Linked DNA regions of Coturnix japonica. The protein of the gene in region 2 interacts with the protein of the main gene of each other region in a pairwise test. Links are inferred from orthologs where the notes say so. Each region holds a gene or a part of one and is shown on either strand. Other genes may lie near its edges. The genes, in order: VCP, PSMA1, TRIM54, MTUS2, TRIM23, RAD54B and CCNH.

Region 1 (3,242 bases), on a different chromosome or scaffold from region 2:
CGAGCTGGCAGTGCTGCCCTGATGGCATCCAACCCAGGTGGTGCAAGGACACACAGGCACAGCGCTGGGACGGGTCTCTGAACTAGGACAGAACACCCGAGCAGGCTCTGCCTCCCAGGGGCTCCCACCGCCGCCTCCTGCAGCCACCAGCTGCTGGTTGTGCTATTTAAGCACTGCTCTCAATTTTGGCTCCTTTTTCCAGTCTCCCCTTTTCCCCTGGCTAGCCCCATCCTTCCTGCCACACTGCGATTCCTCTCACCCCTCATTTCCTTCCCTTTAAGTCCAGGTCATCTGATGGTGCCCTTCTAAATGTCTTTACAGCCAAATCCCCATGGAACTGCCCAGCAAACCTATGGGCACCCTCATTGCTCATTCCTATGCACACAATCCCTATTTACTCATCTCTGCAAAAACCCCAATCCTGCAAGCCCCGGAGAGAGCACACAGCTACTCTGTGCTTCTGACAGCCTAAACACAATCAAGGAATTGCAAGAGCCCAGTTAGAGTTTTGTGGGATTTTATTCTTTTTTTTTACTATTATTTTTGTAGGGTTTTTTGTGTTTTTTTTTTTAATACAGGCTAGCGTTGCACCCTTTGCTAAAGCTGCTGATTCTGCCACATAAACTAGAACAGAAATTTCTCAGAAATTAATTCGGATCCCCTTCTTGTTAATTCACTGTCTGCTTCACAACTCAACATCGGTCTGGATTCGTGTTTGCAGAAAACATCCCCTTTACAAAGTCTGGCGTGCACCTACACTGTTCTGACTGAGGAATGAAGAAGCCAAGAGTCCATTGAACGTTGGATTTTCCCTGTACAACGTGGCCTGATCTGGAGTTTGGTCCACTGAGGACAGTGAGTTAACCATAGAGATCATCGTCGTTGTCTTCACTGTACACGTTGCCCCCGCTGCCACCTCCTGTTCCTTGACTCGGCCCAGCGCCTCCCTGGTTGCCTGATGGGAACCTGCACACAGCAGGGCAGAAGGGAAGAGATGCAGTTCAGAAGCATCCTCACAGCTCAGCACAATCCCCTCCCTCCACATCAACACCCTGATGCCAAGAAGGAAAATCAGGAGAAATGTGAAGCTTATGGCATGTCACGATAAGGCTCATGGTGGGGCCAGATGTTGCTTGCTTTAAAGGAAAAAGGGTTGATGGGCTTCAGGAGCACTAACAGAGCACCTGCACCTGGCCTGCAGTGCAGCTTGTACCCACCACAGGCTCAGCTGTCTGTATGTGCTGGGGAGAACAGGAAAAAGCAGTGGAAGAGGGATTGTTTTCAGAATACACCAATCCTGCCCTCACTCGGCGCTCTGCTCCTGGGGCTCACCACGTCACACTGCCCTCCCCACTGCCCTCAGTTACCTGAAGCTGCCAAAGCCGCGGCTCTGCTGTAGAGTCTGTGCAAACATCTCGTATTTCCTGATGTCGTTGTCGCTGACAGAGCGGCGAGCAAAGCGCATGGCCTCCTCAAAGTGATCCCTGCGGATCTCAGGAACCGGGTCGTCCTCCTCCACTTCCTGCAGCAGGACAGAGAGCTGAGATGAGCCACGTGCAGCTCAACACCTGCCCACACCTCCCTCGGGGTCAGGATGCATCAATACCCACTGAGGCAGGGGCTAGAGAGGGATGCTGCAGCACACTGACTCACAGCTGCTGCAGGGGCCTGCTGAGCAATGCCAGTGATGAGGCACCATAGGAGGCCCTCACCCTCCCACAAGAAGAGAACAAAGTGCTCCAGCTCAGCACTCTGTGCCAAGAGCCTACAGCCTACTCGTCCTCATCTGAGGATTACTGAGAGAAACACATCATCCCTCACCCACAGGCAGAGGTGGGCTGCCTATCTCGTAGGCAGGGAAAGCTCAGAGTGCCCCACTCACCATGGCAGAAGGGTTGGTCTGCCTCTCGCGTTCTCGTCTGATCTCACTCTCAATGGACTCTCGGATGGCCAGTTTACAGGCACGCTGGCAGATTTCTGTCAGGTCAGCCCCCGAAAAGCCATTGGTCATCTTGGCTAGGAAATCCAGGTCAACATCCTGGCAAAAACAAAACACAAGAAAAGCTTTTACACTTTGTACTCTCAAATGACAAAGAGGTGCCTTGAGATCTTACAGTAACAAGGCGCTACCTCAACTTTGGCCAGTAGGAAGAAGGCAAGCTGTTAAGGCTCCTGTTCCTGGTAGAAGTATGCTACACAGTAGGGCAGGCCGTGCTTCCCCCCACACCCAGCAAGAACCTGATACGTGGCTACAAATGTCCCCCCTCTGTTCCACCTTCAGTAAGAGGTAGGCTGACTTGAGGATTTCAGCCACAATTGGTTCAGATCTCAGCAAAAGAAATCAATGGAACCGTTTCAGACTGGAAATGGAGATGGGGCAAAGGGAGATAAAGAGGAACATCCTCCTCCCTTCAACTGACACAGTGGCACTGGAACCTCCTTTGAAGCTTTCCTTCCCAACAGTACTCAGAAAGCTAAGCTTGGCCTAAGGACGTTTGTGTGCTCACTTTGCATCTGCTTTTCTCTAATACGTTCTATCAGTTCATTATTGCCTGCTCCCTAGGCAAGGGATATAACTTTGTCTATGAAAGAGTTCAGCAATTAACTGTAGTGGTTCCTCTTCAATTTTCATTTCCCACCCCCGTTTTCTACATTTACTTTTTCAGAGTACAAGAATCCTTTCCATCTTGCCATAACAGGCATTTCCCATTCCTGCACCGTGGGCAGAACTCTACTATGTGATAAAGACCTGCTGTGCGTACACACTGCTATCTCGCTGCACTGGTACTTAGTTTTAGATCTCAAGCCTATCCCTACCTCTTCATTTCCATCTTTCAGGAATGGAAGGTTTCCAAGCTCTGTGTGTAGCAGCCACCAACCCTCTGTTTGCCCCCAAATCATTGGAAATATGTGCAGCACATAGCAAAATCAAATCAGATACAGCATCAGCACAGATCCTACCTTAGCAACTGGTGATTTCCTCAGGTTGGCTTTAAGAATAGCAACCCGGGACTTCTCATCAGGCAGAGGGATGTAGATGAGTTGATCCAGGCGGCCAGGGCGCAAGATGGCTGGGTCAATGATGTCTGGCCTGTTGGTAGCACCAATGATGAAGACGTTCTTCTTGGTGGACATGCCATCCATCTCTGTCAGGATCTGGTTGATAACACGATCTGCAGCACCACCACCATCTCCAATATTCCCACCTCGAGCCTTTGCAATGGAGTCCAGCTCATCAAAGA
Region 2 (3,200 bases):
CTGCGTTTAGTAAGACAAGAAAATGTTGAGGGCTGAGTTTGGCATAAGTGTAAATCTGCATGAAGAGGAAAACCATAGAGAAAATATTACAGATCTTCATGTCTAACATCAGCATGTTTATTAGATCTAATCAAAAGAGAAGCTGTGCTCAGAAAAGCAAAGTGAAAAGTAACAAACCTCTGTTCCATTTAAAGAATAGGAAGATTGTTTGTGTGTCAGAGCAGGTATGGTATGACATGGCAAATATTTAGGTGGTGAATTAATATGAAACAACAACGTGAAAGGGGAAAATAGCTTGATTATTGCTGCACTGAAGACAATACAGGTGCTTTCAACCTCAAATGTAGGGAAAAGCTGGTTCCTGATGATGTACTTTTTTTAGCAGCTGTGTCTTCAGTCTCACAAATACCAAAGGAGAATACATGAAAGTCAAGCTGTGCAATTTAATTTTCTGGTTCTCAGCCGAGAATGGAAAAAAGGGAAAATGAGTCTGGGGATAAGTGCCGTATTTCATAGGTACCTTTCTGGCTTCATTTTTAAGGTAATCTAAACGAGCTAGTTAAACATGGACTGCGTGCCCTAAGAGAGACTCTTCCTGCTGAACAGGATCTGACCACCAAGGTAAATGCTAGTTTTTCTTAATGAGAAATTTCACTGCCATTGTTCTCAGTAATGACTGCAGCAAAGCTGCTGTAAAGTATGGCTGGCACTGAAACCTGGGAGCTAAAAACTTTCTAGATAGCAACAAATGAAATGAAGATGATAGTGATTTACATAGTGCTTCCTTTACTATCTGAGATTTATTTTTCTTTATGGGAGAGATACCTTATTAGATAAGGGATTGTTTCCCTTTCTGCTTCATTATATTTTAAACTTGAATCTGTGTTTAAAGTGCATTGTGAACAACTGGAATTGTCAGCTTTGCATTGTAAGCACAGTCACTAATTGGGGTGGTAAGGGAATGTAATACACAAGCTGTTTGAGTATCCAGCATCTGATCATGAGTTGCAGAAACCCTAGACAGGAAATGAAGTGAGCAACTGTTGAGCAAGAAGCTTTTAAGCAGCTTTGTTACCATATTCTGGTGTTCTCTTTGTGGCTGGTCTCGCCCTTATCTATGTTTGATCTAAATTTTTCATTCTTAGCCTGCCTTGCTGTTTTCTAGAACTCTCACAATAACAACAATGCAAAGTCTGATGAAAATCAGTTTTGAAAAGTCAGGTATTTGTTACTAAAAAGAAGAAGGGGGGGGAAGGAAGGGGAGGAGGGAAAGGAAGCAAAAACCCTTGAATGGTTTTCCTGTTAAGATTTTTGAAACGTGCTACCTTTTGTAGGGAATAAATGTCCCTCCCTTTCCTTCTTGAGAACAATCTACTAAAGGGAGTTAGTCAGAATTGCCTTTCTTCCTTAAGCGGGCACAATAGCACAGGGACCCTCTTCTGCAGTGGGATGCTTTTGTCTGTTTGACAAGTGAAAGTGATTTTGCAGAGAAATGCTTCTCACTTCTGTCAAAACTTTGCTGAACAGAATGTTTCCATTGGGATTGTTGGCAAAGACATGGAGTTCACCATTTATGACGATGATGATGTAGCACCATTCCTAGAAGGCCTTGAGGAGAGACCACAGAGAAAGGTATGTGTTAAATAGAAGCGGGCTTTATTGAAAGACAGCACTGTACAATCACAGAATTGTAGGGGTTGGAAGGGACCTCTAGAGATCATCGAGTCCAACCCCCCTGCCAAAGCAGGCTCCCTACACCATGTCACACAGGTAGGCGTCCAGGCGGGTCTTGAATATCTCCAGAGAAGGAGATTCCACCACCTCCCTGGGCAGCCTGTTCCAGTGCTCCGTCACCCTCACTGTAAAGAAGTTCTTCCACACATTTGTGCTGAACTTCCTACGCTGTACTTTCATCCCATTACCCCTAGTCCTGTCCCCACGCTCTACTGAAAAGAGACCAGCCTCACCACTATGGCCCCCACACCTCAGGTATTTATAAACCTGGATCAAATCCCCTCTCAGCCTAACAGAACCATTTCCCTAAGTCTCTCCTCATAGGGGAGATGCTCCAGGCCCTTCACCATCTTAGTGGCCCTCCGCTGGATTCTTTCCAAGAGATCCTTGTCTTTTTTGTACTGGAGATGTATTGTTTTTGTTTGGCATTTAATTCTTCTAGTAAACTATCATTTTTAGGGATGTGATTTTTTAAAGCTAGAAGTTCCTACATGAAAATTGGATACACCACCGTCCCCTTAGCTGGAGACTGATGGACTTGTTGAAGTTAGTTTAGGCTGAATTAGTGGCAAGCCCTTCCTGCCACTGTCAGGCCCTTTTCCTCATCTGTGGTAGTGTTTTGCACTTTCTTTAACAGCATGTTATTGTGCACGTGGCAGAGTGCACCCTCAGGTCATCTAATTAACAGCGTTGTCCTTTGTGTTGACTGTGGATAATCCCATAACACATCTTTTCCCTCTCTTTCAGCCTGCTTTGCCTGCTGACGAGCCTGCGGAGAAGGCAGAAGAGCCCATGGAGCACTAGTTGGTGGGCGGGTTCCTCTGTGCTGCCATCCGTGTTGCTGCACTGGGGCTTTTATCCACTGGTGGTAACTGTATCCTCACCTGTATGTCTCTTATACTGACACGTTCTGAGGATTGCTTTTAAAAACGAAATAAACCAACTCACCTATCCTTAAGGAGCTCAGCAGTGCTGTGTGGGTTTGTTTTCTTTTGTCAATGAAGGGGTTGTCATTTTCTAACTAGCAGAAGATGCAGTTTTTGATGGACGCCTGCTGTGTTTAACATGTAAGGACAAGTGGGAGTCGATGACCTTTGGGAACCTGGGATCTGGGATGACCTGGGAACTGGGATCGCGGGGTGTTTCAGTGACCGCCTGGGTGTGACACTACAGCCGGAACTCCCGGCTCTGCTGCTCCTTCCTCATGGCGCTCCGCCCCTGTCGGCCACGCGGCAGAGCTGTGAGTGGCTCCGCCTCTCGTTCTTCTGTACGGAGGAGGCGCGTCCCACCGCGGCCGCCGTAGCGCCGAGGTGCCGGGAGGGAGAGGCTCCACGTCAGCCATCGCCGAAGCGGGAGCGAAGCGCCGCAGGGCAGAGCACAGCGGGCCCGGCCCCGACACACCACGTCCGACCCCAGCGGGCTGCTGCCGGCAGCACCGCAGCCTCACGGTGGGTGCGCGGCTCCGG
Region 3 (4,003 bases), on a different chromosome or scaffold from region 2:
CTCTCCTCATCCTCACCCCATCCCCTGCCACCCCATCCCTATCCTATCCCCATCCTCACTTCCTCCCTCCCCACTCATCCTCACCCCATCTCCTGCTACCCCATCCCCATCCCATCCCTGTCATATCCCCATCCTCACTCCCCCCCTCCCCACCCATCCTCATCCCCATTCATCCTCACCCCATCCCCACCCATCCTCATCCCATCCCCTGCCACTCCATCTCTATCCCATCCCCATCCCATCCCTACACCCTGCTCATCCCCACAGAGCATCTCACCATGGGGAGAGCTCAATGGCTTCTGCCTTGGCCCCACATCTGTAGAGAAAAAGCATTGGACAGGTGGAGAGAGGGACACATGGTGAGACCATGCACCGTACATGGCCACGCCGCAGCCACGGCAGCACCGTGGTGACTGCGGCACAGCATAGCACGGCACAGCACAACACACTCTCACCTTCAGCAGCCTCAGGTGCCTCCAGGCTCTCCTCATCCCCTGCACCTTCACTGCTGTCTGTGGGTCCATCTCCATCATCCTCACCCAGCGCTTCTGTGGGGCAGAGGCACATCTCAGTGTGAGGACATCCCTGCTGCAGTCCCCTCCCCAAGGCAGCGCCCGCCCCATGCTGGCACCTGGCTGGAAGTCGATGGTGCGCAGCATCTCAGCCACATGGTCCACATTGATGGAGAAGTGGTCCATGCTCTCATAGCCGGGCTCAGGGCGGCTGCTCATCGACACCTTGGACATGTCTGTGATCCTGGGGGTACAGCAAGCAGCATCAGCCCTGCCCACCCACCCCCCCATGCCATCCTCATCTCATCCCCCTCCCCATCCCATCCCATCCCATCCCATCCCATCCCATCCCATCCCATCCCATCCCATCCCATCCCATCTCACCCTACCCCACTCACTTCTTCAGGAGCTCCTTGGAGTGCTGTGGGGGAAAGCAGAGTGCCGTCAGCATCCCAGGAGCAGCGCACCAAGCCGCAGGGCGCCCCGCACACAGCCCCCCCCAGGCACCTGCAGGTACACGGCCATCTGAGGTTCCTCCATGGCCTGGATGGCCGTCTCCACCAGCTTGGAGGAGGCCTCCAGGTGGTCCCCGTACTGTCGGATGAGGCCGCGCACGCGCTGCACCTTCCCCTCCTGCTCGCGGGCGATGCTCTGCAGCAGCTCCTTCTTGCGCTCCTCCAGGATGCTGCAGAGCGAGTCGAAGCGCAGCCCCACGTGCTGCTTCTGCCGCCGGCCGTTCTCCTGTAGGATCCCCCCCCGGGGGCTCAGGGGGCTGCCACGCTCCCAGCCCGGCCCCACAGGACACCCCTGTGTCACTGTGCCCTGGGGACACCCGCGTTCCATGGCTGCAGTGGGGATTTCCCTCCCAGGAGCATCCCACCATGTGGGCACAATACACCGGGTGGGGGTCCCGAACCACGCAGACCCCACACGCGGGGCCTGGGGGGGGGGTGTGGGGGGGAAGGCACACACAGGGCAGCCCCACCTCAGTGCTGCGGCAGGAATCTTCCAGCTGGGAAATGATGGTCTGGATGCGGTCGTTCCCCGCTACTAGCATGGAAATGCAGTTGTTCAGCTCGCTCTGGGGGGCGGAGCGGCGTCGGGGGTCGCACCGGGAAACCCCTCCCACCGCGCCCGCTCCATTGACCCCCCCCCCGGCTCTGGGGGTCACCCACCTTCTGGCCCTGGAAGATGCTCTGCAGAGGGGCGACTTCGCAGTCCTTGTGAGCACCGAAGACCTTGCACATGGAGCAGGTGGGGACCTCGCAGGTGACGCAGTAGATGTTGATCCTCTCATCCTCATGATCCTTGCACATCAGCTGCTGCTCCGCCTTGGCGTGCAGGGGGCTGCGACGGGAGGGAGAGGGCGCTGCGCCCCACGGCACGGCCCCACGGCACGGCCCCACGGCACGGCCCCACGGCACGGCCCCACGGCACGGCCCCACGGCACGGCCCCACGGCACGGCACACGGCACGGCCCCACGGCACGGCCCCACGGCACGGCACACCTCTGCCCCGTAGCATCCCCCGCCTCACTGCACCCCCAGCCCCACAAGTTTAGCCCCAATACCCCCCCACCCAGGCTCATTCCCCCTCGTGTCCCCTGCACAGCCCTCCATACCACACAAGCCACGGCATCCCCCGCCCCACCTCACCCCACGGTGCCCTTGAGCCCCTTTAGCCCCAATCACCCCCCCCCCATCCCCACGGGCTCCCTCCCACGCGTGTCCCGCCCCGCACCGCGCCGACTCCTGCTTGTAGATGTCGATGATGTTCTCCACCAGCAGGTTCCTCTGCAGCCCGTACACACCGTGCCGGTCCAGCAGGACCTCATGGCGACACGTAGGGCAGCGGAACCGGCCCCCGGACGGCCCCGCGCCGGAACCCCGGGACTGCCACAGCGGGTTGGAGGCCTGGGGGGGCAGGGGGGAAAGGAGAGAGCAGGGCAGGGGGGGAAGGAGGGGTTAGCGAACCGCTCCGAGACAGAGATCCCCCCTCCTCCCGTGTACGGAGCCCCCAACCCCGGGCACAGCCCGGTCCCTGCGCCCCGCACCTGGAAGATGTCGTTGGCACACTTGCGGCAGAGGTTATGCTGGCAGGGCAGGATGACCACAGGCTTGCTGAACATCTCCAGGCAGATGGGGCACAGTAGCTGCTTCTCCAGGCTCTCCATGCTTCGCGCTTCCGCCAGCAGCGGCTTCAGCCCCACGGCGAAGTTCATCGCCGCGGTCCCGGTACCTCTCCGGTACCGCTCCGGCCCCTCACTGCCCCGCTCCGGCCCCGCAGCGCTAATTTTAGCCGCCCCCGCCCCGTCGGGGCCGCGCAGCTGTCGGCGGCGTCGGGTGACACTGAGTCACGGCGGGCGGCCGTCCCACCGCCGGGGTCACTCCGTCCCGACGCCCCCCGGGAGCGGCACGGCGCTGCCCCCCCCCAGCCCGGCTCCACAGCCGCCGCTCCGAGACGAGAGAGCGACACCGCCGAGCTCCCCCCCATCATCCTTTAATGGTGCCCATATAACATATACAAACCCACGGAAAGTGCCTGAAGGGTCCCAGCCCCATAACGAGCGCGGTGCGGCCCCACGGCGAGGCAGAGTGGGGCGCGACGGGAGGCCCCTCTCCGACCCCTCCTCCTCCCCCCCCATACCAGCCCCAGAGCAGCGTTTGGCACCCAGCTCCCGTCAGGGGGGTCCGGCCCCGGGGTTACAGTGCTACCGGTCTCAGTCACAGCGCTGTAGGACGGTTTCACCTGAGATTGTACACCCCCCTCCCCACCCCACGATGGGGTCTTGGGAAGCGGCGGTGGTCCCGGAGGAGGCTTTACCCCCCACCCCCCTCCGGCACATAGGTGGCCCTATGCCTCGCTCCTGGCTCCGGCAGCAGGCAGGGGCTGGGCGTTGCTTGCGGGGGGCTGCGCTTCCACCGGGACCTGTGGGTCTGGAAAGAAAATGTGTGGGTCAGTGGAACCAGGAGGGAGTCCTGGGGTCCTGGCAGCGATCCGGGGCTGCCCCTGGCACCAGCACGGCCCTCATGTCTCTGTTCCTCTGTTAAGGAAACCGAGAGAGCCCCCAACCCACGTGTCCCACCAGCCCCCGAGCCCGGTGCAGCCCCCCCTGCAGGTCTCTGTGAGCCGGGAGCATCGTGGGGGGGGTCACCATTTTGGACCCCAACTCACCGCCACCATCGTCCGCCTCCAGGTCCTTGGGGTCGACGTACTTATAGGACTCGTCCTCGCGGGGTGGGCAGCACTTCCCGCAGCAGAAGAAGCAGCAGCAAAAACAGCAGCAGCAGGTCAGCAAACCACAGCACAGCGCCAGGGCCTGCGGGATGGGATGTCACAGCCTGAGGCTTCCCAGAGACCCCCGAGGCTTCCCCGAGACCCCCAATATGCCCTAAGAGCTTGGGATTGCCATGAGACCCATGGGGCTGCTCTGAGACCACAGGGCCCAGCTGCCATGGAGATCCCCTGGGCCACTATCAGACCCCAGGGCC
Region 4 (3,500 bases), on a different chromosome or scaffold from region 2:
CTGCCAGCAGCAGCGCAATCCCCAAACCTATCCTGGTTCACTCCAAGGGCTCCCTCACAGATAAGGTGGATGCTGACAGTGACTGCAGTGAGAAACTGGAAGAAAGCATGGAGGTGAAACCTGCCATACCCAAGCCTAAACCCGTGAGACCTAAAATCATCACATACATCAGAAGAAACCCTCGTTCAATAGAGCAGCTTGACCCTTCATTTGCACCAGCAGGGCTGCCATACGGTACCGCAGCATGCACAGTGCCCATCTCCACAGAGCAGAAGGCATCTGGTGGAGGGGAGGGGAAGGCCCCCAGCATCCTGTATGACAAATTTAAACCTGACCTCCAGAAGCCAAGACTCTTCAGTTCTGGGCTGGTAGTGTCAGGAATTAGGCCTCCAGGTCATCACTTTGGCCCAATGGGTGAGAAGTTTTTGCAGGAGGTAAGCAGGTGGCTTTGACACTTTTGTGTGCTGGGTTGTGAGTGTTTGCTTACTTGTTGCTGCCAGAAGTTAGTTCTCAAACCACGAAGAAGTAAATCCTAAAGCAAAGCAATACATGATCAGTAGGAATAAACGTAACCTTTTCTGGCACTGACCTTGATGTGGTGTCTGATCTGTGACTGGAAGTTGTCACCGTGTTCCTCCAGCATTTCCCAGCATACAAGTCACCTGCTAGTGTATAAATAGAGATGTTTAGATAGGAAAAGGTGTGCTGGTTGAATTTATCCTTAAATGGATCTTCTGTTTTTTTTCCAAAGAACATCTTTTGGAAATTAATGTGATTTGCCTGCAGAAACTTTTCCTCCTTAATGGGAATCTTGGCTGGTTTTTGCAGTCCAAGCGCTAGCGGTCCATATGCATTCGCTTCTGTTCAGCTATACAGAAAAACAGGAACTGTCAGATTTCATTAGATTATATACATCATGCAGGAAAAGATTTCCTTTTGACTCATTTTAAGCAGTGTTCTGTATTGCCTACCATCTTAAATGAGAAAACACCTTTCCTGGGAAAGTCTTCCTGAGCAGCCAAAAGGTAATGGAAGTCCCACTGCCCACTTCTGGGACCTTATATCTGGTTGTGTTTCCACTTTGGTAAGCCAGGCAGGAGTGCAGGCTCCCTTAGTCCCTGCTGGGAGTTGGGCACAGTTGTTCAATGTTGATGTTGCTTGGTAGGTGGTGAAAAGGACAGGGAAGAGGGGGTTATATTTAGGTCTGTGATGTGCCCTTGAGTCTACTGCTTTGGACCTATGGTAGCTAGCTCAACAGAAAAGCTTTCTATGTAAATATCAAAGATCCCACAACTGTATTTAATTTTAACCAATTCTAAAATTAAAAAAAATAAATACAATTATTCATTTTATATACCTACCTCATTCTATATACAGTATTTATCCATGGAACAGCCTTGAAATAACACATTTGGTGACAGAGCTGACAATCAGAAGCCAGCAAATACCCACATTAAAATCTCATGTGTGACTGTTGGTTGGCCCTTCTTGCATGTTAACAGACAACTGTTCAGGTGATCTTAGAGTACAGATTTTGGTAAGAGTATTATCACATCTCAAGCAAAGTGCTTGCTGCCTTTCCCATTCAGGTTCCATAGTCCATGCCTTATGTTTTTCATCCAGAGGACAGATTAATAAAGTCACTGTGAGCTTGTCTGTGCCAGCCATTACTAGGGTATCTTCACAATCTCCCTGCAAGTTGAGAGAAAATTGCTGGATTATTACCATTTAACTGAAGTTAAAACCAGTGTAATGCAGGCTGTGCAGCTGTCTGGCTTTTTATGGGGTGACATGACCTTCATTAGCTTGGAGAAGAGAAGGCTCCAGGGGGACCTCATTGTGGCCTTTCAGTAGTTGAAGGGAGCACATAAACAGGATTGGGGAATGGCTGTCTATGAGGGTGGATAGTGACAGGACAAGGGGGATTGGTTTTAAACTGAGACGGGGGGGGTTTAGGTTAGATATTAGGGGGAGTTTTTCACACAGAGGTTGGTGACACACTGGAAGAGGTTGCCCAACGAGGTTGTGGGTGCCCCATCCCTGCAGGCATTCAAGGCCAGGCTGGATGTGGCTCTGGGCAGCCTCGTCTGGTGGTTGGTGACCCTGCACATAGCAGGGGGGTTGAAACGGGATGATCACTGTGGTCCTTTTCAACCTTGGCCATTCTATGATTCTCTGATTCTCTAGACCATAGTTTTCTACAGTCCATACTGTTGCTATTTGGAAAATCAGGCAACATTAGCTAACACAGCTGGAAACTAAGGACCAATTTCTGCTAACTGTGGAGGAGTATGTACATGAAAAGTACTGAGGTTATGGCAGGTATGCAGTGTGGTTTGCTCTACAGTAGAGTTAGCAGGATAACATTTATTTTCTGGAGAGGGACCAAAGCATCCTATCCCCCTGTAAATATGACTGAGTGGGTCTTTCAAGTGAAAGGAAAGCAATTGGAATGGGTTGAGGTATATCAGAATCACCCTGGCAGACTGGCAGTGTTGAAGACTCAAAGCTTTTGTAGACAAGGATATGCTGGGGCAGGATGACTACTCTACATCAACTTTGTGAGGGAAATATTCACATACCGCCCCATTTCACATATCCAATTTGGGCTTTGATCAGCATTTTTCTTTACATAGCTATGATGAGGCTGTTAATAGCTGCTATCAATCAGACCTGTAATCTCTAAGCAGCCATCAGCTTGCTAAGCAGTAGGCACAATTAAATGCCCCCTTTGGTGCTGTGAGCTGGAAGTAACAGGGAGGTGTTGTCTTGGGCATGACCTGTCTGAGGAAGGCTCGAGGGCTGTCTCTGAGGCTTTAATGTCTGACAGTGTTATAAACAAAGCAACATGAAGGAAGGTGTTAAGCAGCCTCACCTCCTGGCAGGGCTGCCGTATCTGCTCAGAGTTACCCAGGCTGTGGAAATTCCCAAATGGTTCATGTGTTTGCTTGCAGACTTTCCAGCTCTTTCTGACAAGTTCATTAAATGGGAGGAGTGGGGAATGCACAGTACAGTTCTGAGCTGAGCTTCCTGTTAGTGGATGGGCTGTACTAATCCAAATCTGTTTCAGCAGCTCTGTAGTGGCCTTATGATCAATAGTTGCATATGACTCTATGGGAACCAGTTAAATCCTGCGTTTGAGGAATTCATTGTTTAATACAAAAGAAAAAGGAACGTGTCTTATTAACAAGTTTACGTCTCTTTGTGAGCTCAGATCTCTAAGAACCAAATCTATTTCCTGAGAGACAGTTGGGTAAATCCTTCTTACTTCTTTCAGCTTGAGAAAATGTTTTATCCTTGTGATTGTTATGTGTGCATAAATCTGTGTTACCTGTAGCATGCTGTCAATAAAGATGAAAATGAGGTGACTGGAGGTTTCATTAAGCTGACCCAGTTTATTAGAATTGCCTGCGTTCTATATTTAGGGATTTTCCCTGCTCCTCATAATGAAGTACTTGGCATAAATACATTTGTTATATTTATTGGCAGCCAATATGAGA
Region 5 (4,210 bases), on a different chromosome or scaffold from region 2:
CGTCCAGTTTTGGGCACCTCACTGCAAGAAAGACATTGAGGCCCTGGAACATGTTCAGAGCTGGGCAACCAAGCTGGTGAGGGGTCCGGAGCACAATGGGGCCGTATGAGGAGAGGCTGAAGGAGCTGGGAATGTTCAGCCTGGAGGAGGCTCAGGGGAGACCTTATTGCTCTCTATAACTTCCTGAAGGGAGGTTGTAGTGAGCTGGGGGTCGGCCTCTCATGTCATTAGCGATAGGATTAGAGGGAATGATTTCAAGCTGCAGCAGGGGAGATTCAAGCTGGACTTAAGTATTGCTTCTCAGAAAGGGTGGTCAGACACTGGAATGGGCTGCCCAGGGAGGTTGTGGAGTCACCGACCCTGGGACCCTGGGGGAGACCCTGGGAGACTGGATGTTGTGTTGAGGGACATGGTTTAGTGGGAGCTATTGGTAATGGGTGAACAATTGGACTGGATGACCTTTTAGGTCTTTTCCAACCTTGGTGATTCTATGATTCTACTATTCCCCGAGGACTTACAGAACAGATTAGATGAAATGTTGCCATGACCCTCTTCTGCTTCAAACCATCAGGCAAAACATTTTCATTCACAGAAGTGCTTTGACTCTCAGGTTGTTTTGCTAATTTTTTTTTTTTTTTTTTGAGCAACAGCTGATCACAACATATCATTCTTCTTTCCAGAACCATCCAATAAGCTGCAAGCCTACTATCCTAGAAATGAAAGCTTCAGCTTTTCTTCCCACTACCTTTCTATAGAAGCCTTGCAAATTTAACACTTCACATTGTTCCATCAGAAACCACTAGTTGTTACGTAAGACGAAGAAACTTAATTTTTGGTTAAAACTGAAACTAAAATAAAAAATTACTGTAGGATGCTTCCAATTGTCAGGCGGAAATCACACAGTAAGAGCCACAAAGTGACAACGCCCCCTTACAATAAAAAGCTCTGCTCCCCATTTACAAGATACAAGCAGCTGGCTCACGCTGAAGTTTCACAACAGCAAGACTAACACACGCTCCCTATTAAAGCATACATACATAAACCCCATATAGATGTACAGTCACATAAAAAAATAAACTTCTTTCAATCCTCTTTCAATCACATACCATCCACACCTCTCCTACCACAAACAAAACTTTTTCACATCATGCTGATGTTTCTTCTGAGTTTGTTTCCATTTAATATTTCTTTAACTCTAGCAGACTATCACTTCAAAGTAAATACGTATTCATGCTGATTTGATAATTGTACATTTATTTCATGCATTACTACATTTGATATCTCCTGCTCCATGGATTCTCCGCCATCCTAATATTTTTATCCACTGTGCTATTCAAAGCTACTGCAGACAGCTCTGTTCACAAGTTAACCTTGACACAAATTCTTCTAGTAACTTGTCCTTTCTTTAACTCTATGTTGAATGCACAATCACTAGCATATGCCTGAAATAAACTCTCACTATGGAATAAACACCATATCTGATCTTTTGAGACACATTTCTAAAGTAATAAAATCCCTGTAGACAGCCTGCCAATTTAAGTTCTATCACCCTTAGAATTACCATATACTTTACAAACAGGTTTGTTATCATTCCACTGTGAATCCAGGCAAATTTGTTTGACAGAGAAACAACTTACGTAACTGTATGGTCTACTTAATGTTTAGGACAACAGGAAACTGATATCCTCTCAAGAATCATTAAACAGGGATTTAAAACAGACCAGTCACTTTGTAAACACAGGCTCACAAACAAGGTGTTTGCAAGCCTATATTCAAGGAGAAGATAAAAACTTATTACCTAATCTTAATGAGATCTCTCTCACTCCTCTCAGTGGAAAAAAAAAAAAAAAAAAAAAAAGCATTTCAGAGTACAGGAGGAATGCTGCAAAACAAATACAACTAGTACATTCATCTTATTTGGTTTTGTGTACTATCCACACACATTATCTAGCCATGCATTTTACTGTACTAAACCCTTCTCATCCATTTGCAGCCAAATCAAAACTATCAACAGTAAAAATTCTGATACCACACACTGCCAGCCTACAAACTCAAATCAGCCTTTATACATTTCCTGTTAAGGCTTGCTGGTCTTTTAAACATTCTGTTCGGTCTTAACAAATTCAGGCCTAAGCTCTCTTACCCAATTCAGTAACTTGCCGATCAAAAGGACAGCGGACAGCCCTGCCGTGAAGGGGAAGCCGGGTCAGGCAGTCATGGCACACAGTATGGCCACACAGAAGCAGCCGAGGAACCTTATCGCCTTGCAAAGAGAACACATCTTCACAGACTCCGCACTCGAGAACCTACGATTTTAGAAAAGATACCATCTGTCTCCAGGCTGGGGGGGGGGGGAAACAAGACAACGAAACAAGACAAAAACACAACGGAAGCAGCACGGAGCAGCACGGAGCAGCCCTCCCGCGAGGAGCAGGGACACAGCCCCCACCCGGGGCCTCCCCGAGCGCCTCCCGCCCCGCAGCCGTTCACCGGAGCCCCGCGGTGCGATGGAGGAGCAGCGAGGCCCTACCGCAGCGGCACACACCGCCTGAGGAAACCCTGCAGAGCGCTCGGTACGCCTCCTCCCGGGCCCAGCAGGCACCTCCGCCACAGCACAGCACAGCAGAGCACCGGCTCGAGAGCAGCGAGCGGCCCCGCCTCACCTTCACGGCGGCGCCGGTCGGGCCCCAGCTGTTCCCAGCTCCGCGGCCGCCGTCCGGCCCGGCCGCAGCCGCAGCCTTGTTTACAGCCAGGGCCGCCATCTTGGACGGGGCGGAGCACAGCGGGCCGCGCAGACAGCACCCCTTCCTCAGTGTGCGCATGCGCTCTCCTGCGCCTCCTCCGAGAGCGGAACTGCAGTTCCCGTCGTGCTCCGCGAGGCCGCCGCCTGGGCACCCTCCAGAACTACAGCTCCCAGAATGCACCGCCACGGGGCTGCCCGCGGGACCCGCCTTCCTCGGGACGGGGGATGTGGGCTGAGCGGGCGCAAGGCCCTGTGGGGGTTGTAGTTTGTGGCGCCGTGGCGGTGTATGACGGGGCGTGTGTGGAGCAGCTGTTTCCGGGTTCAGCGGTGCTCGCTCTGCCCGCGCTGCGGTTACGCGCTTCTCGGCTGGTTGCGGCGCTCGGGCCTCAGGCTGCACCATGGACGTGAACCAGCCCAAGCAGGAGCATCTGCTGGCACTGAAAGGTACCGACCCTGAGCCTGGGAGCGGCCCGGGGCCGAGCTGCTGCCCCTGAGGCACAGGAGGCACAGGACGGCTCGGGAGCGACGGGTGGGAGGAGGAGGGCTGCGCCACGGGCCTGGCGAACCGGGATCTTCACAGGCTTCAGCACTTCTAACTTCTTTTTTTTTTTACTTTTTTCTTTTTTTTTTTTTATTTTATTTTTCTTTTTTCATGTTTTAACATTATAGTTTCCTGATTTTTCTTCCTTTTATGGCTTTTACCCTCAGTGAGCAGCCGCCGGCTTGTATTCTTGATTCAGATTCTTGATTGAGAGAAAAAAATTGGTAGATCTCATGAGGTCACAGAGCTAGAGCTGATAGCAACAAAAATAATGGTCAGATTTCTATAAAGAAGCTGGTTGTGCCAACAGGCACTTTGGTGCCATCGAGTTAGGAACTGAAGCACTGAAAACCCTGAATGTAGCTGCCCCTGATTGCAGTCAGTGGAAGTAAATCTACCTTCCTCTTGAACAGTGCTTGTTGGAAATAAGCATCGCTATTAAGGTGGAGTAGGGAACAGCTGAAGCCTCATCTGCGTGTGTATTTTAAGTGAGATGGCTCAGCTACATAAAGCAGTGGAGGTGCATAGATGATGTTAGACTCCATATTCTGTTTGTTTATTTTCTTCACAGTGTTTTTTGGGAGGGTTTTCAGCATCTTATAGTCAGATCTATTAACCGTAATTCACATATCAGCAACCACTTTTTCATGCATGTGCACAGACAGTGTCTAAGCCAAAACATGAGTGCAGGAAATACTGTCAGCTGCTACTACCAGCACATTTTGTTAGTAACTTATACAAAGGAACAAGTTGTATGGCATGACAGTTTGCTTGCAAGAAATCAGTAGGATCCTTGGGCTTGTATTGAATTTGATACACTGCCCAGGCTGTATATTTTGCAAATAGAAATCAGAAGGATATCTGAATATCTTTACATTTTCCCTATTTTATACAAAATATTGACAATGACATGATTAAGGAATTTG
Region 6 (3,500 bases), on a different chromosome or scaffold from region 2:
AGTACTAGAATAAGACTTAGTTTTTGACAGAGCAGTGCATAACAACAAAGAAGTTCATTTGAGTACAGAATATATCAGCTCTTTGCTAGATTTTAGATTAGAAAGCTAATGCAGAATCGTCATGAAGGTGCCTCATTAGACCAAACATAATCAAGCTGAATTCAAACTAGAAGACAGTGCTAATGAGTTTGCACTTATGGAAGTGCCAATGATATCGCTAATTACTATATAATCAACATATCATTGTTTATTTACACAGTTGTTAAGTAGCAGCTTTGTCAAGATATGAGGTAAAAAGCTGGACAGAGCTATAACTATAGAAATAATGTAGAAGAACTCTCCTTTTTAATATTTCTTTAAAATCATCTTTCTTTTTCATCTGAAAGATAAAGCCATGAGCAGAATTTACAAGGCCTGCTCTGAAAGTAACGTCTCCTATTTTATTATGTTGGCCTATGATGTCAGAGGCAGATGTTGGTGGTATAGCAGCAGAGACTGAAGCTTCCCACCAATATTTCATCACATGTTGTTGCCATGCAACAGATGGCAGCAGAGGGGCAGTATGACAAAACAGCATCTGGCACGGAAGTGCATATGAAGCAAAGGTGTGCCACTGAATTGTAGCCACAGGCCTTCATTGACACTTGTTGAATGTTTGTGGATGTGCTAACAGTGCTAACAGTGGGTGTTAGCACAGTGAAGTGGTGAGTGGTACATCTGAACACTGACAACAGCAGTGTGAAAGACAAGTCATGTTCTGGACAGCCATACAACAGCCATATGACAGCCAATTTATAAGTGTGGCATGCAGGCTACAATTCATTTCTGGCAAAAATGCGTGGCCAATGGTGGTGACTCCATTGAAAAATAGTATTCTGAAGCTCATAATTTGCTCTGTCTGATAGTGTTACCATGTGCTTCATATCTGTTGTAGTTTTCACAGAAATAAGTAGGAGGCATTACTTTCAGAGTAACCTATGTCATTTAAGAATTCTCATGATTCTTCAGTACAGGGTAGTTCAAGTATTACATAAAAAAACTTTCATTCCAAAACATACCTTGTTGAGTTTGGGGCAGTAAAGTTACACTCATTGGCTGTTACGGATCAAGCAGCATCAGGAGCAATTATCCACATTTGGCTGAACTGCTCTATTACTGACCCCACTGGGAAGCTGGAACTCAACTAGAACTTTTAGTATATGTCAGATTGTTTCTCTGAATGACATACACATTTTTCTTGGCAGAACTCTCAGAAACCACTTCTACAGAAGAAACCACTCAGAAACCACTTGCTTCTACAGCCATCTGTAACATCTGTGAGCGAAAGTGATGCAGTGCAGAGCATTCTACTTGTTAGAAACACACGATAAAATCCTAATATTTTGTTGACAGAAAAACCGCCACTGTATTTCAGAAATACTTCAGTAATACAGTAAGGAATGTGAAAATTCTGGTTAGACACTTAACTTTCTTGAGAGCCAAAGGGTGCTTGAATAAGCTTAAAACTTTGAACCTTACTTGTTTCATTTGGATTGTGACGAGGTTTGCAGCTCTGAGAATTGAGGAGAATATTCTCTTTAGTACTGGGTTGGCAGGCTCTTTTGATTGGCTTACAGAATTGTTTCACAGTAGTTTGAGATAAAGCAGTTGGGACTGTTGCATGAGTCGCTATTCCAGTCTGAAAACACCTGCCACTGCTGAAGTCATCTGCTGAAATTACACCCATCACTTCAATTTCTTTTCCTCCAATCATCAGCGTTTGACCTTCCTCAAGACTGTCTAACTCTTTAGATTTATATCCAGTACCTAAAAGAAGATAAAAATTTAGGAATTAGAACAACACAGCAAATACTACTTCCTTAACATCAGTATTTATCTGCACGAAGGATTAATAAAACTGTCAATAGTTCTATCTCTGTGCAAGATCATTTGAATTCCAGACTGAAAAGCTTAGTTCTAAGTCAGGATGGGCTTTTTGGGTAGATGTGAACCTAAGAAAGACAAAAGGTGAATCCACAAAGCTCAAATGTTTATGCAGCTGCCTGAAATAATTATTTCCATAACACACAGTAAATTAAAAGAGAGGGTTTCCTAGATTCTTAGTAATATACTATTAAGAATTTAGGACACTTGCAGAGAAGAAGAGCAAGAAGTTCTGCTGTCTGGCCTCAAAAACAATCTAAAGCCAAAGCTGTTTTTAGGTTTCCATATTCCTTCTTAAATCCTGCCCTGGTGTGCCTAAGTAGAAAATAAACCAAAACCTTCCTTTAAATCCTTTTTTTTCCACTTAAAAATAGTAATTCTGGAAGCTCATTCACATTCACTGTAAAACTGCTAGTTTTAAATGCAGTTTTGGAGATAAACACCACTACCCCTCACTCAGAGTACCTTCAGAATAATTGAAGAAATTTTAAAGTTACACTTGGTGTACAATCGGTTACAATTGGTGCATTTATGTTTTTCTTAGAGCAGATCAGCATTAGTGACGTTGATACTGCTGTGCTCCCTGGCACAAATAAACACAAAAAATTGTAGCACTGGGAATCAGAATATCTGTTTTCCTACTATGTTTTCTGCTAATTCAAGAAGACACAACAGGGTGGTGGCTGATGCATTCCAGGCATTGCTCTCTTTCTCTCTGCCTTTTACATACCCAAGCAAGTCTATACTTATATTGCTTCTCTATAACTGAATTTGAATTAACTTCTAAGTCTCTGATTTAAAAGTGTGTGGTGCTAACAAGGTTCACAATGTCATGATTGTAATTAAAAGCGCAGAGTACCCAAGTCGGCCTCCAAATTAATCAAATTATATCTTGTAGAAACACTGTCCAATCCAAACTCCCTACTAAATATGCTCAGCTTAGTTAGCAATGCTAATTCTTGCTATTCTTTCAGTAAAAAATACTACCTCAAACTGACTGCAGCCTACAGTTTGCAAGTCTTATTTTTAACTCTGATAACAACCCAAACTGTGTCTTACAGCAGCAGCTGCTGCTAAAACTGCAAGACTAAAAATTGCTACACAGTTGGCTTTGGCTGGAAAATGCTGCTCTTCTTTGTCTTTCTAACAAAGATAATGGTTTTAGTTGCTTGATTGGCTGTAAAGTACAGATCCAAGCTCAAACATTCCCAGTTCCCATAGTACTGACTGGAACGTCTACAGGAAACTTACCTGTCTACCTTCTTAATTCTCACACCTTCTCCAATGCAGTACAAGAGCAACCAAAATCAACTCCTGCCTCCTTTAGCATCTCTGCTGAATTAGTGCAGCCCCATTTCCAGATCGTCTCCTTGGACTATGCACCATTTGGTGCTTCTGCGAAGAATGTTACACAGCCTACTCCAGACTCCCCCATGCATCTGCTTTATATGTAAGAAACATTAAGCTTTCTTTCCATCTCCCTCACTGCAAAAAAAAATTCTAATCTTTGCTCATCCTGTGGTCAACTTTGGTACAGATAACTCTAAAATATCTAAAAAGCCTCTTCTCTGTTATTC
Region 7 (4,042 bases), on a different chromosome or scaffold from region 2:
ACTTCAGGATTTTCTATCAATGGGTACCGAGTCTAGGAAATATTTAGGAAAGTTAAGTAGCTATTCCTGTTACAGTCTGTGAGCTCAACACACAAAACTTAACAATTTTCTGTAAAGCAGAAAGGTAACAAGCCATATCATCCCAAAAATAAGATTTAAAGACCACAACAAAAAAACACCTCCTTTCAGAAATCATCTGCCTATCACTTTAGAATCTACATCTTTATGAGTGCAGAAACAAAAACATAAAATCCATATTTATACTGCATTAACATATGAAGTACATAGCAGATAAAACAGCATTACCTTCAAATCAATTAAAATTCCCTCAAATGGCCTGTATGGATTGTGTACAATAAGATGGAAGTTCAACTGCTGAATAAGCAGTAGTTCATATTCCAGTATCTGTTCAAGAGCTTTTTCTTGTCCAACAGGGCTTTCTCGAAGGTTACCAACAAACTGAGCACTGGACACGTTAAACTCATCTACTTTGCAGGCTAAAAACGCACACGTTAGCCTTGAGTAGTTTGGGAGAAAGAAAGAAAAAAAAAAGCAAACAATTAATACATGCAGCATCCATCCTCTTATCAAAAGTTCTGTGCACATTTATTATTATTATTATTTAAAAATTTTTAAAGTACTATATTCAGAATAGAATAAACTTTTCCAAGTGGAAATGGAAACTGACCACACTCTACTTGCATTTAAGGTCTCCAATTTCCTTTCCTATTTATTTAGTGTCTTAGCAAATAAGGTTGTACTTCTATTATTCTGATAGGTACAGAAACTCATGATGTGTTGAAAACTCACATTATTATCCGAGGATGGTACTCCATCACTGAGTTATTGAGATAAAAACGTTTGAAATACATGCAAGCCGTTCCCTTGATTTTCAAAAAGAGAAGGAAAGAGTTAAACGTTGAAGTAAAAATGGATTAAGAAACAATAATTTAAAAAAAAAATCATGAAACAGAGAAAGTCAGAATGTGTACTATTAGCACACCAGATGCACAAACACGTCACTTAAAGTCATTTAAAGTCTAATTCATTTATGCACGCAAAAACTTTATACCATAGCAGTTTTATGTCATTTTTATATGTATTTTTAAGAAGACAGCATGTGAATAGTCTAGAATACCTTCGTGACAATCTCATCTCATATTAAAATGAAATACTTCAGTCCACTATTGCCAAGTTTCCAAGTTAACGTGAACTCCATCAGCACACATTTCCAGCCACTTATTAGTGAAGCTTGACTCCGCACACACACCTTACAGGGGCCAATTCCCAAATATAAGGATGGGTTTCATAGCACCAGCAGCCGACTGTGCATGGCCAAAACACATACAGACAAGACACTCCTTTTTACTATTCACCACAGCAGCCAAAAAGAGGGACTTCTGGGGGGATGCTTCTGAACAAGCTGACAAGTGAAGCACAATTCAATTCCCTGCTTCAGCTCTAAGCCCTCCTTCTTCCCTCCCTCTCAATGCACTCATGCAAAGTCACTGAACAACTCATTTTTATATGCTCTGTAGATTATTGCCCATACAGGCTCTTGAGATAGCTTGCTTTGTACTCAAATGCACATCATTGCGCAAAGAAAAAACTATATCATAAATTCAGTTCTAGGTTAGTTTCTACTCTCTGCCTAAGGAAGAGGAAAGAATGAAGTTAAATGGTACTGAGCCAGCACAACGCACTTTCAGCCTGTAAGACCAACAGTATCCAGAGCTGCAGCAAAAGAGACATACCTGTCACAGTCAACTCTGCCCTTGTGAGAGCCCAGGACTGGGGTCACACACTCAAGATGTGTGGGTCCAGAGGGAGAGCATAGAGATGATCAGAACACATCTCTCCTACAATGGCAGATTGAAGCTGGGCTCGCTCAGCCTGGAGAATGCTCCAGGGAGACCCCAGTGTGCCATTCCAGTACCCGAAGGGAGCTCACTAGCAGGAGAACCAACTTTTTACATGGCCCAATAGTGACAGAGCAGGGGGGAGTCGTTTTAAACTGGAAGGAGTGAGATTTTAATTAGAAGTCGGGGAAATTTTTAACTGTGAATGGTGAGGCACTGGCACTGCTGAGGGCCAGGCTGGGTGGGGTCTTGGGCAGCCTGAGCTGGGGGGACAGCCCTGCCCACAGCAGAGGGATTGAAATGGGTGGGCTTTGAAAGTCCTTTCAAACCAAACCACTATGTGATTCTACAAACACCCACCCCAAGCTGGAAGGGACCCAGCAGGCCTACGGAGCTCAACTCCTACAGGACCACCGAGGGAACCACGCTTTTCCCGGTCGGCAGAGCCGTGAGGAAGCAGGGGTCGCCTCGCGACAGAACGCTTCTGCTTACCACTACAGACCGCGGCATGGCAGGCTTGAAGACGGCACAAAAATCCAGCAGCCTCTTCTCGTAGTACTTGCATATCGCCAGCTCCTCGTGGGCCTCCAGCAGGAAGGACTCACCCTGCTGCACCTGGGGGAAAGACGCCGACCTGAAGATACCCGGCCTGGGGCCGCCCCTCTCCCCCTGAGGCCCCGCAGAGCCGGTCCAGCCCGCTCCCCCCTCGTCCCCGCTCCGCACCTTCCCGCCGGCAACAGCTTTGCTACGAAATTTGCGGTTGGCTTCGGCCCGGCTCCTCGCCAGCTCCTCCTCACTGCGGAAGGTCCAGAATCGCCGCTGCGTGCTGCTGTAGAACATGGCTGCCCCGCCGCGAGCCGGCTGCCACGGCGCGACAGGCAGCGCGCAACCGGCACCGCGGAGCCCTTGGAGCTGTGGGGCGGAACAGCGCAACGCCCAGCGCGGCAGCAAAGGGGGCGGGGAAACATGGCGGCGGGGCAGGGCTGTGGTAGTAGCTGTGTGTGGGGATGAGGGCACGCAGTCCAGCCGTCAGATGGGAGAAGGGAATGGGAGCGGTGCGAGTGAGAAATACACGGGCATTGTTACATTTTCATGTATTTGTTATTAATAACCACAAAGCCTGTCCCTGACCCCCAGCTGCCCTCTCTCACCGTTCCCTCTGGCCCTGTCGCTGTCACACAGGGCAGAGCTCAGCGCTGACAACCCCCTCCTAATGCAGCTCCTTAACACTGCTCTGAAGTATGCTGGAATGATCATTTCAGTTTCATTTTCATCAGTGTAGCTATGAAACCATGTAATCTATCAGCATCAAATGGTGATATGTGTATGGGGGGGAAAGAGTGAGGAATCATTTGCGTTATGCCAAATGAAATCAATCTTCGGTATTTTTCAATTAAATATTTCAGAATAAATGATCCTCTTCCACCTTGTTCTCCTATATAATGCCAGGACTTGTGTCATTGTTGCTAAATTGTACCCTGCAAGATTGATGTATATTCTCCATTAATTTCCCTATGAAGGTGATTTAACAACTTGTCATGTTAGCTAGTCCTTCCACTTTGCCAGTCGTATGGTTCTCCCCTGATTCCAATGGAAAAGGACTTGGGCGTACTGGCTGATGAAAAAATGATCTGGCAGTGTGTGCTTGCAACAAAGAAGGCCAACAGTAAGGAAGCCCCTTATTACAATCACGTAGGAAAAAGACTGTGTCATCTACAAGCCAGAGAAGAGGATGTTATTTCCATGTTCAAGCCATAACTAAATGTATGCCACCTCTAGAAGAGATTTTTTTTGCCAGTTTTCATGACAGAAGTATTTCCTGTAATGCAATTAAGTTTACCTGGAATTAGGAACTATGACCACTTTTCTTGATCTACCATCTTACAAGGGCTATGCCATTTATCTTCAGTTTTCTCATTCTTCTGTTAAAGTTGATGCAAATTAACCTTGTATTTGCTGTTGTTTTTTGTTTGTTTGTTTGTTTTTAATGACAAAAAAATTTGAAGTTCTATGCAGTGGACTCTGAATGTAAAAGAATTATGCTGATTCTTTAAAGGAGATATAAACTGAATTTAATTCAATGTGATAATTCAATAGTGATTTCAAAGAGACAGAATTCATTTTTCCCATATTTCCACTGAGTCTGAAGTTAGTTAATTTCCTTTTAAGCCTAACCTCAAATG

The links.
Region 1: the proteins of PSMA1 (region 2) and VCP interact in binary tests that used the Homo sapiens proteins (3 or more experiments, as listed by UniProt). The two-hybrid records come from large-scale screens. The link is inferred for Coturnix japonica from reciprocal best matches to the Homo sapiens genes PSMA1 and VCP.
Region 3: the proteins of PSMA1 (region 2) and TRIM54 interact in binary tests that used the Homo sapiens proteins (3 or more experiments, as listed by UniProt). The link is inferred for Coturnix japonica from reciprocal best matches to the Homo sapiens genes PSMA1 and TRIM54.
Region 4: the proteins of PSMA1 (region 2) and MTUS2 interact in binary tests that used the Homo sapiens proteins (3 or more experiments, as listed by UniProt). The two-hybrid records come from large-scale screens. The link is inferred for Coturnix japonica from reciprocal best matches to the Homo sapiens genes PSMA1 and MTUS2.
Region 5: the proteins of PSMA1 (region 2) and TRIM23 interact in binary tests that used the Homo sapiens proteins (3 or more experiments, as listed by UniProt). The link is inferred for Coturnix japonica from reciprocal best matches to the Homo sapiens genes PSMA1 and TRIM23.
Region 6: the proteins of PSMA1 (region 2) and RAD54B interact in a two-hybrid assay, tested with the Homo sapiens proteins (2 studies listed by BioGRID and IntAct). The two-hybrid records come from large-scale screens. The link is inferred for Coturnix japonica from reciprocal best matches to the Homo sapiens genes PSMA1 and RAD54B.
Region 7: the proteins of PSMA1 (region 2) and CCNH interact in binary tests that used the Homo sapiens proteins (3 or more experiments, as listed by UniProt). The two-hybrid records come from large-scale screens. The link is inferred for Coturnix japonica from reciprocal best matches to the Homo sapiens genes PSMA1 and CCNH.

Annotation. Positions count from the first base shown.
Region 1 is NC_029547.1:7,814,908-7,818,149, forward strand, and holds the end of VCP (transitional endoplasmic reticulum ATPase), read right to left. Parts: coding exon 2,962-3,242; intron 2,039-2,961; coding exon 1,883-2,038; intron 1,523-1,882; coding exon 1,368-1,522; intron 967-1,367; coding exon 861-966; 3' UTR 501-860; downstream 1-500. UniProt on the Homo sapiens protein: Necessary for the fragmentation of Golgi stacks during mitosis and for their reassembly after mitosis. Involved in the formation of the transitional endoplasmic reticulum (tER).
Region 2 is NC_029520.1:14,580,474-14,583,673, reverse strand, and holds the end of PSMA1 (proteasome subunit alpha type-1), read left to right. Parts: intron 1-541; coding exon 542-621; intron 622-1,527; coding exon 1,528-1,632; intron 1,633-2,481; coding exon 2,482-2,538; 3' UTR 2,539-2,700; downstream 2,701-3,200. UniProt on the Homo sapiens protein: Component of the 20S core proteasome complex involved in the proteolytic degradation of most intracellular proteins. This complex plays numerous essential roles within the cell by associating with different regulatory particles.
Region 3 is NC_029518.1:95,417,684-95,421,686, forward strand, and holds the start of TRIM54 (tripartite motif-containing protein 54), read right to left. Parts: upstream 2,801-4,003; 5' UTR 2,734-2,800; coding exon 2,566-2,733; intron 2,426-2,565; coding exon 2,253-2,425; intron 1,860-2,252; coding exon 1,688-1,859; intron 1,594-1,687; coding exon 1,498-1,593; intron 1,254-1,497; coding exon 1,020-1,253; intron 934-1,019; coding exon 911-933; intron 757-910; coding exon 632-756; intron 549-631; coding exon 456-548; intron 317-455; coding exon 278-316; intron 1-277. Other genes in the region: DNAJC5G (dnaJ homolog subfamily C member 5G), read right to left, coding at 3,366-3,448, 3,687-3,831. UniProt on the Homo sapiens protein: May bind and stabilize microtubules during myotubes formation.
Region 4 is NC_029516.1:157,076,712-157,080,211, reverse strand, and holds part of MTUS2 (microtubule-associated tumor suppressor candidate 2), read left to right. Parts: coding exon 1-434; intron 435-3,500. UniProt on the Homo sapiens protein: Binds microtubules. Together with MAPRE1 may target the microtubule depolymerase KIF2C to the plus-end of microtubules. May regulate the dynamics of microtubules at their growing distal tip.
Region 5 is NC_029547.1:14,354,269-14,358,478, reverse strand, and holds the start of TRIM23 (E3 ubiquitin-protein ligase TRIM23), read right to left. Parts: upstream 2,801-4,210; 5' UTR 2,763-2,800; coding exon 2,664-2,762; intron 2,307-2,663; coding exon 2,144-2,306; intron 1-2,143. Other genes in the region: TRAPPC13 (trafficking protein particle complex subunit 13), read left to right, coding at 3,142-3,187.
Region 6 is NC_029517.1:114,217,223-114,220,722, forward strand, and holds part of RAD54B (DNA repair and recombination protein RAD54B), read right to left. Parts: intron 1,807-3,500; coding exon 1,519-1,806; intron 1-1,518. UniProt on the Homo sapiens protein: Involved in DNA repair and mitotic recombination. May play an active role in recombination processes in concert with other members of the RAD52 epistasis group.
Region 7 is NC_029547.1:54,306,395-54,310,436, reverse strand, and holds the start of CCNH (cyclin-H), read right to left. Parts: upstream 2,801-4,042; 5' UTR 2,700-2,800; coding exon 2,583-2,699; intron 2,475-2,582; coding exon 2,352-2,474; intron 885-2,351; coding exon 811-884; intron 518-810; coding exon 307-517; intron 33-306; coding exon 1-32. UniProt on the Homo sapiens protein: Regulates CDK7, the catalytic subunit of the CDK-activating kinase (CAK) enzymatic complex. CAK activates the cyclin-associated kinases CDK1, CDK2, CDK4 and CDK6 by threonine phosphorylation.